2 linked regions of the Schizosaccharomyces pombe genome follow. The gene in region 1 interacts genetically with each later gene. Each region holds a gene or a part of one and is shown on either strand. Other genes may lie near its edges.

Region 1 (4,725 bases):
TGCACTAAATGATTTTTACTGTCAACAAAAATAGAAAGCTCAAAGTCAGAAATCTGAATTAAAGCATTTGGGTAGTTCTTCCAATTATCAATCGTCTTTATAACATTATAAGGTTGGGTAAGCAATATATCTAAAGACAAAGTGTTAGTTTAAAATCATAACTGTAAAAGTTGAAAATCCTTATTCATCGAGCTTACTTTCAAGTTTTAAATCTCTATGAATCAAACATTTGGAATGAAGGTAAGCAACTGTATGTACTAACTCAGAAAAAATTCGCCCAACAAATTCAAGGCTGAAATCCGAATGATGTTTTTTAGTGTAATGATAGAGATCTCCTCCCATACAATAATTCTCTACGAGTATTAATTCGGCGGAGGAAACGTAGTAATTTAATAGCTGCACAACACATGGATGCGACAAAGTTTTGAGGGCCCAAATTTCTTGCCGAAATACTTTTACTCTAGCTTTTTTTTCGTTTTGAGACTTGGATGATAAGTGAGTATGTTTTAGGACGATGGAAGTATCAAACTTCTTATTATTAGATTTGACAAGCAGTACTTCCCTTTGTTCCGTAGAGGTGATTTTAGTATTTATAGACCACAAATATTTCTCATTCTCGTCTGAATATAAAGCATATCCTCTACTTCTGCCTAATTGAAGAGAATACAATGATTTTTTTTGTATATTAGTTAAGCCAAAAATTAAATCGGAAAAAGTCTCTAAATCTCTATTAAATGGAGCATAGTTAGAAATTTCTAGTTTAGTTAAATCGTTCGTCAATGATTCAGATATATCAGTCTCAGACGGAAGAGCTGAAATATTCGGATTTACATGACGAATTTTATTTGAAAGAGGATATAGTTGCAGCGATTTTTCTTCGCAAGAATGTTTTTTTTCAGACATTAAAAGCCCATTCTTCCTAGATAGGGCTCAACTTTCTTCGAAATATACAAAATTCCAAAAACGGCTTCGATAGGATGAAGTCAGGTACTGACGCATATAAAAGGTTAGGATAGGTATTCTAAAAATGCTTATTGACTAAGACTGCCACATTGATTGACAGTTTAAAAAAAAAAAGAAAAATAATGAAAACTAAGCATTACATTTCATGGATTTCAGCTATCACCATATAGACCAGCTGCACTAGAGTCGTCCGAAGAGGGAGAACTATCTTTTCCATAGATATCTGAGTCTTCTGGTAATTCTTTAGATTCCTCTTCATTTTCTTCTTTTCTCTGGCTTTTAAATAATGATGTTTCTTCTTCTTCTTGGGAATAGGGTCCACTGGCAGGAGGAGGAAGAGGAGAGAGATTGTCTTCAGATGGATTTTCGACAATATTGGAAGTATATGGTACGCTGTTAATGCTTGGAGAGTAAGAATCTACTTGAGGAGAATAAGCATCATCACTGTTTGGAGAACTAGACGGAGGTGATGTTGTTTCTACATTATGTTTGCCAGCAGTAGAACTTTTATCTCCAAAACCTGCATCGGTCAAGGTAGAGGTAGCTGTTGTACTTTCCTTATTCTCTAAATTAGAAATTATGGATTCAACAGATTTTAGGCTCTCTTCTTCCTCTGAAAGTAGCTTTTTTTGTTCTTCTATAAGCGATTCCAAGGAAGTAATGAGTGTGGATCGGGATTCGATGCAAGCCTGATAATTACCTTTACATGATTCAGAGGCTTTATTTAGTTGCTTTTTATAATTATCGAGTAGTTCAGAATAATCTGATTGTTTCTCCAAGTATGATTTATACAATGCATCTACCACAGTTTTGGTAGAGTGAGCAGATTTTGCGTATAAACTAGTTTGTGTCATTAAACGAGTGTAAGGTGCCTATGCAATTAGTAAAGTTCTGATATTTTATTTGAATTGCGGCATACCCATTCCGGAGGGCCAACGGGGTAATAGTTAGAATGGCCACTGTTCTCGGCATTATTAAACCTTTCCTGCAAGGATAAAAGTATCTCCTTAGAAAATATGCCGCGTTGACACCAAACGTCAAAAACGTATTTGATTTTTGTTTTAATGGAAGCAGGAACTGACGCGTACGCGTCAGCTACAGAGTTTACGACATACTATGCAAATATTATTAGAATCTAAACCATATAGGAGATGTTCCAAGCTCATAATGATAGTAACTTACTGGAGAAACGGCATCAATATATTCAGATATTTTTTTGACCCGGGATTGTTGAACGACTTCGTTGAGCAGGTAAAGCAATAAAAGCTTTTTGTTGGAAGAAGCTGGTTAAATTAGTTAGACAATCGAACAAATTCCTAAAGGAGTCATACATTCATACAAAGCTTCCAGCCATATTTGGACAATTTCATCAGCATAACGCTTGTGAAACATAACCCAATGCGCTATTCCCGTTATACTTTCTTGTGTTTCATTTAGAGTAGCCAACTTTGAAGAAACAGTGTCTGGAGTCAAAGCCATCTTGTTTTATGCTGATGGTGAGTTTCTTACGACACACTGCTGTTAGCATCGCAAACGAAATCATAAGCATAAGTAATAAATACTTCTTGTATAATATCAATGTTTTACATTATAGCCTATACTTAAAATGATTTTGAAACAACAGATTAATTAGTTTGGGTAGAGCAAAAATCTTCGTCTCATTTGTAAAGATGGAAAAGAACATTTATTATTCTCAAACTACCCAGTTTTCTCCAAGATTCCCTCTTAAATATTAGGTATATAAAATACATTATTCGTTTTCTCATGATTTTGTTTAGTCTCAGCAGGTCATCTTAGCTAACGGCTATCACTCACTGTAACATTTACAGTACGAGTTTTGGTAAGAATGCTAGACGAAATCTTGTGATGTTATATGTTGGGGATTATGAAAAGAAACTATTCGGCGTGTTGAGAAATGTGTACGGAGTGCAAATGTGTGTTTTAATGACTTGTCTGAAGCAGGAATTACTATATACTACTCACCGCATTGAGACTTTGTTTTTGCTTCCCTTGTATTACTATAAACTATGGCATATACTTACGTAAAAAATTATATAATAAACTAATTGTTCGTTTGAAATCGTATTTATTTGTCAACCGGGCAGGCAAAGCAGTAAAGATGTTCTGAAATTGAACGATAATACGAGTTTCAAAAAAAATAAAAAAATAAATGAATAAAGTAAAATAAATTAACTCCTAAGAACAAAGTTAAAACGGGATGACTAGTAGTAAGCAAAATTGTAAATAAAAAGTGCCGTAAGAATGTCAACGTATAAAACTAATGTTCATTTTCTGCCAATGATAGTCATTTCACCTTTCATAGTAGTTATTTCAACTTAATGGATGCAATCTCATTCTGCGTAGCGTCAAACTCAGAATTCATGTCGTTTCGCCAACACTCTATACCAGAAATATATCATTGAAGGACTTTTCAAGTCTTGTATTTGCTCATTCATCTATTCAACAATATAACCCATATATTAGAATACCAATCTCAATTGCTACTTATATATTACTTGCGAATTACAATATAATAGATCACTAGGAAAACACCGTAGTTCTACGTATCGTTAAATTAAATACTTGCGTAGCTAACATTATATCCTCTTAACGCATTTGTTGTAGCTATGGGTTATATTATTTACAATTAATAGCTTGAATGAGTAATATACCTTTTCTTTAAATATTTCGTGATTATTTAGAGCTGTTGAGAATCCCTTAAGAGGAATACAATAAAGCAGGATAAAGAAATGTTTTTCTATTAACTTTGTTATGCATGTTTGCAATCGAAGTTTGTTTTTAAACAAATACTCCTCTATTCAATAAATCTAACTTTGTAATAAGTTACCTGCAAATAAGCCATTTTTCTTTTATTTTACAGATAAAGCCCATTTTCATTATCTGTATCACGTACTCCCAGTGTGAAGTTACTTAGGTTACCTTGTTTCTTAATCCATCAAAAACTCTTTTCTTTGTCCTTAGCATTCTTTGTTTAAAGTTGTATATAAGGGGAACTTGAGAGATTTGAATTTACTTACAACACATATATTAAATATTGCTTTCAACACACGTTTGTACTTTTATTTTCCAAGATTTCCCTTTCTGAGAAATATTTGTCAATTAGTAAACATATAAGGCAGGCTACAAAAGATATCATTTGTATAGTTATAGTGAATTGAAATTTTATCGTTAAAAAGAATACTGCGGTTTATTGCAACTGGTTTTGTATAAATAATAAGGATGATGTCGAACGAGAATTTTGATAATGACTACAATCTGCCACCACCAAATGATTCTGCGGAAGATTTAAAAATTTTCATTGAAAGATACGAGAGATCTGTAGATTCTACATTGTTAGAAATTGACGAAAACAAAAGAGAAGCACTTGAAAAAAATATATTGAGGAATGAGATCGTAAAATGAAATATGAAATTGAATGCAATGAAAGGCTACAAGGATGGAAAAAGTTAGCGATTGAAAGGGAAATTTCTGAAGAACAATCGGGAGAAGTACAATTTCCACGCTGGATAGATGAATGGGCAAACACTAAACTAGGTGGAATTTTCGAACGAATATTTTCTAAAATGGACTCAATGCAAAATGACATGAATTCTCGGTTTGACGCTATGCAGAATGAGATGACATCTATGAAAGGCGAAATGGCCGAAATGAAAGTTGAAATGGTTGAAATGAAAAGGGAAACGATCCGTTTGAACACTAGAATTGATTTACTCGAACAAAAAACTGAAGCAAGGTTTCAGT
Region 2 (4,973 bases), on another chromosome or scaffold:
TTACGTACAGAATTAGTTCAATTAAGCTCAAAATTCGGCGTAGAGAAAGTCCTTTGAGGAGGCAAAATGGGTATGGCAAGATGATGTGTATTGATGTAATCCTTAAGTGCTGGGGTGTACTATATATACAGTGCAAAGGGTATGGGTAAAGTAAATAAACGATTTCTCAATAACAACAAATAAAGCATATTTATTGTTGTTTAATTTTTTTCGTCTTGAAAAAGAAAACAGAATTGGAAAATTGCTAAGGCACCATAAACAGATAAAGTATAACGTTTTAGTTCATACCCACTAGCGTTGGTAACTAAAACTTACACAAATTTTATATTTTTTGCTTTATTTTTTTTATCTTCATATTGTTAACATGGCGTTTCGTGCTGCAAGAATTGCTTTCGCTTGGAAGGCAACCAATCCTGCTAATACAACAATTCGTCAATATATAAAAGAAACACTGGAAGAAGCACCTGAGAAAATCAGTCAAACTGTCAAAAAAGCAACTGGTAAGGCTTCGAAAAAGATAGATGAAAACAAAGATAAGTCACCACAGGAAATGGCTGAGAATGCAAAGCAATCGGTAAAGCAAACTGCCAAGGATGCAAAAGATACCGACTATCAGCAAAAGGCGAAAGATGCTGGTAAGAAAATAAAAGAGGAATTTAGCCAACGGTCGGAAAACGTACTCGAAGAAACTCGTCGTGAGGGGATGAATCGTGATGGTGGTGTTAAAAAGGAATAAAGAGGATTCCTTGTAAATGAATCGAGTTAATGTATTGAGTGGAAGCTTGTATACAAGCTCCTTGATGCTCTTTATGATTTTAAAGATGCTTCACGTTTGAAAACATCGCTTTCTTTTTGGATTTATATGAACGAACAATGCATGATTTACAAAACGAAGCTAGAAGATTGTTAATAAACTAAAAATCATAGTTCAACGGTTCCTGGCTTTTATTTACAAAATAAATTCAATTTTTGATGATAGCAAAAAAAAAAAATTTCATGATTTAAATAAGAATGAGATTATCGCGAGATGTGTTAATTATATTCCGGTTGTATAGTCTGGTATTCGTGGCAGTGATACTGCATATTTTGCATTGCCGATGCTAGCCTTAGTATGGACTTGACTGTATGTAAAAACTTTATGGCCCACATGCTGTCAACAGCTACTATGGTCAAATTTAAATTTTGTTATTCTATAGGCCGGATAGTTGTATAAAGGCATTGTAATGGATAATGGTAATAATACTCATTTTGGTCAAACACATTCATGCCATTCTACTCCAGTAAATTCAATGCCGCTCGTTGTAAGCATAGCGATAAATCCCAAAGGCTGTTCAAAGCAATAATTTCAAATTTGTATTGCAACTTGCCAACATTTTTAAAGTAAATAAATTCCGTTATTGTACAGTGACATTCTCATGTTATATACGCTCTACAGTCAATAACATAATATCATTCACCAACATGATAGTACTCGATTGTATTATATTTTACTAGTCTTGAAGCAAGAATAGCCATAGCCCTTGGGTTTTTGAAGTTGCCAAGATTTCGGCTCAGAATGAAATGCCCAAGCTAAGATTTCCGAAGGTTTTTTCAAATTTTCAATATTTACTGCATTTACTCCCTCCACAAAATCTGGTTTATACGAGAAGATGTGACTGCTAAAATGATCATTATGCTATAAAAAACCCCATTTGTCGTTTACAATGCTTTACATTCGTTTTTATCCACACTATTCACAAGCCTGTGTCACGGTTTATGTAATTGGCTTGGGGAACGTGTTGGAAAGAATAAAACCGCTGTATACTTCATACGGAACGCAATTATTACTTTTCGTTCTGCAATAAATCAGTGGAATATCGTGTTGGTTTTTTTACATATAGTTTTATTTTGATGTATTTAGTAAACACTCTATTTGTTAATTGAATATAAGTTAAATTATTAAAAGATATTTAGTATAAGTACAAATTTTAGTAATTGCATTAAAATGGTTATATTTATCGTGTTTCATTATCTAAACTGCTTTGTATAGGTTTTCGTTTGATTTTTTGTAAATTAATGGTGGTAGTTTTGGCTCCGTAAGGTAGAACGTTTTCTTCAGCTTCATCCAATTCACGTAACCCACTAGTTACCTGCAACACCATATCACTAGAAAACGTGGCCGAAACTTCTCTTTTTCCATTTGTATATATAAATGCATTTTTAATTTCTTTATCTTTTTATTGTCTGCACAATAAAGCGTTCATTCTTTCCGTTTTTTTTGAAAACTATTTTTCGTCATGACTCTTTCCTCTAACCAGTATCAGTACGTTCAGCGTTATTTCGTTTATGTCTCTTTCTAACTTCTGTTTATTAGATTGCCTCTTAATGTCCGCCCGTATACAACGACTTGGTGTTCCCAGTCTCCTTCCTGTTCAAATCTTCTTGCCATAGGTATGTAAGATATCTGAATGTTACGACGAATGGTAATTTACGTATTACTCATTTCTTCTTTTCTGTTTTCCTAAGTTACAATATTTGAGAAAACCTCAGTGCTAATGAAACAATTATCTTCAAATAGCATTCCTCTAAACGTTTTAAACTAATGATTAACCTTATACAGGCCATGATACGGGTATCACTATTTATTGTGCTTCAGAAGAACAGACGCCCGGATCTACAGGTTTGACATTACAAGAGTTGTTCACTATTCAAACTGGGTTACCCACTTTGCATCTTTCTTTTTCATCTAGCTGTAGTTATTCTGAGAATTTGCATGATGGCGATGGAAATGTGAATTCCTCACCTGTGTATTCTTTGTTTCTTGCATGTGTGTGTCAGGATAATACAGTTCGTCTAATAATTACAAAGAATGAAACCATTATTACTCAACATGTGTTGGGCGGAAAATCTGGGCATCATAATTTTGTGAATGATATCGATATTGCAGACGTCTATTCCGCTGATAATCGTCTCGCTGAGCAGGTGATAGCATCTGTGGGCGACGATTGTACGTTGATTATATGGAGACTGACTGATGAAGGGCCTATTTTAGCTGGATACCCATTGTCTTCCCCTGGTATTAGTGTCCAATTTCGCCCATCTAATCCTAATCAATTGATTGTTGGAGAAAGGAATGGTAATATTAGGATTTTTGACTGGACTTTGAATTTATCAGCTGAAGAAAATTCTCAAACCGAGTTGGTTAAAAATCCATGGCTTTTGACTTTGAATACCCTGCCACTCGTTAACACCTGTCATAGTAGCGGCATTGCTTCCTCTTTAGCTAACGTTCGATGGATCGGAAGTGATGGAAGCGGTATACTTGCAATGTGTAAAAGTGGGGCTTGGCTTCGTTGGAATCTTTTTGCTAATAACGATTACAATGAAATCTCGGATTCCACTATGAAATTGGGACCCAAAAATCTACTGCCCAACGTGCAAGGCATTTCATTGTTCCCATCCTTGCTTGGTGCTTGCCCACATCCCCGTTACATGGATTACTTTGCTACGGCACATTCTCAGCACGGCTTAATACAGCTCATTAATACATATGAAAAGGACTCGAATTCAATTCCTATTCAATTAGGTATGCCCATCGTTGACTTTTGCTGGCACCAAGATGGATCACATCTTGCTATAGCTACGGAAGGATCTGTTTTGCTTACCAGATTGATGGGGTTTACGAGATTATGAGGGTATAGAACAATATACTTAACATCGAACTAAAATAAACGGGTTCAGGAGAGGAAATTGTATTGAATAAATATTAATGTTCATAGTTAAACCAAAAAGTAGTATTTGCTATGTATTAACATCGTGTAAACGCTGTTACTTTTAAAAATTTTAAATGGATGTGTTGCTTTCGTAAACAATTCGCCTTGGTTCAAATATCGCCTTTGATATTTCAACTTCCAATAACCGATATGCGATTTGAATTGAATCTTCTAAATGTTCGTTACAATGATAAAACCCATTATTTTTGAGCATAATATTTTTCCAGAATCATGGATGCCAGTTTTTCGAAAGATGGATTGTGTAGCCGCTGTTGCTGAATAGCATCTAAGGTTTTCAGAGGAACAGAACCCTCTTCCTCACGGTCAAGGTTCACTAATTCTTTCATTATATGTAAAAGCTCGGCATTACTTTCAATTAAATTTTTTATGCTAGGATCTTCGACAATAGATTCCAAAAGACTTTCACTTGGCAATGCCTCTTCTGCTAAACTTGGGATTCTTCCATTAACGTAGATAACATTAGGAGAAGGTTCTGGGGGGTTTAAAGGTTCTTTAACTCCTTTGAATGTTGTTGTGTTATTGTCATTTACAGTCTCACATTGACTTTGGTGGATTTTCCAGCAAGGTAATGAACAACTATTAATTCTATATTAGTATTTTTAGGAAACAGAAAAAAAGAATAAAGCATTGGTTCATGGGTTAATGTGTATTGAAACAAAATGCATTGTTCTGAGCTTACAAGCACATACTAAGGAAATGAACACTTCGGGCATTTATATTTTATTTCTGATTCGTTGCATATTGAACAAGTTGTCATGATAGCGTTTAAATTTTTCTAATGTATTAGAGGAGAAACCTTTTTTTTTAGACAAGCTCAAACAAAATAAGATTAAAGGGAGAAGAGCAATAGAGTAACGTCAAACCTTGCTAGTTCAAAATACAGTTAACACTGAATAAAAAGGCTCTGGTTTTTCCCTCTTTTGTGATATGTTCGAAAGCTATGGTAAACAGTAAAATAATATTTTTTTGAATATTCTCAATATAAACTATCTCTGCATCTCTAGCGAGTACATTTTTTTAGATTAGCATGGTGGATTTACTTATCGTTACCCCTCACTATATAAAGCTTTTTAATGATTTTCTGGTTACGAATTTTAGTGACTTAGTCGTAAATAGTTTAAGCTTTTTAAAAAAAGTACTTATTTAAAGGAAATAAATTATGAATCTTTCTTTGGGAAGGATCAAAGCGCTGTTGTAAAG

What was found. Genes that interact genetically often act in the same process or in processes that back each other up.
Region 2: mutations in rhn1 (region 1) and nup37 together harm fitness more than expected from each alone (negative genetic interaction), as found in Schizosaccharomyces pombe (2 studies listed by BioGRID).

Annotation. Positions count from the first base shown.
Region 1 is NC_003423.3:1,033,255-1,037,979, reverse strand, and holds rhn1 (RNA polymerase II transcription termination factor), read right to left. Parts: upstream 2,459-4,725; 5' UTR 2,443-2,458; coding exon 2,295-2,442; exon of another isoform or gene 2,247-2,294; coding exon 2,146-2,246; exon of another isoform or gene 2,078-2,145; coding exon 1,883-2,077; intron 1,836-1,882; coding exon 1,116-1,835; downstream 1-1,115. Other genes in the region: serine/threonine protein kinase Ppk27, read right to left, coding at 1-130, 198-903.
Region 2 is NC_003424.3:4,868,224-4,873,196, forward strand, and holds nup37 (nucleoporin), read left to right. Parts: upstream 1-2,120; 5' UTR 2,121-2,276; coding exon 2,277-2,302; exon of another isoform or gene 2,303-2,353; coding exon 2,354-2,430; exon of another isoform or gene 2,431-2,503; intron 2,504-2,599; coding exon 2,600-3,672; 3' UTR 3,673-3,803; downstream 3,804-4,973. Other genes in the region: SPOM_SPAC4F10.17 (uncharacterized protein), read left to right, coding at 365-736; hit1 (HIT zinc finger domain-containing protein), read right to left, coding at 3,953-4,349, 4,463-4,530.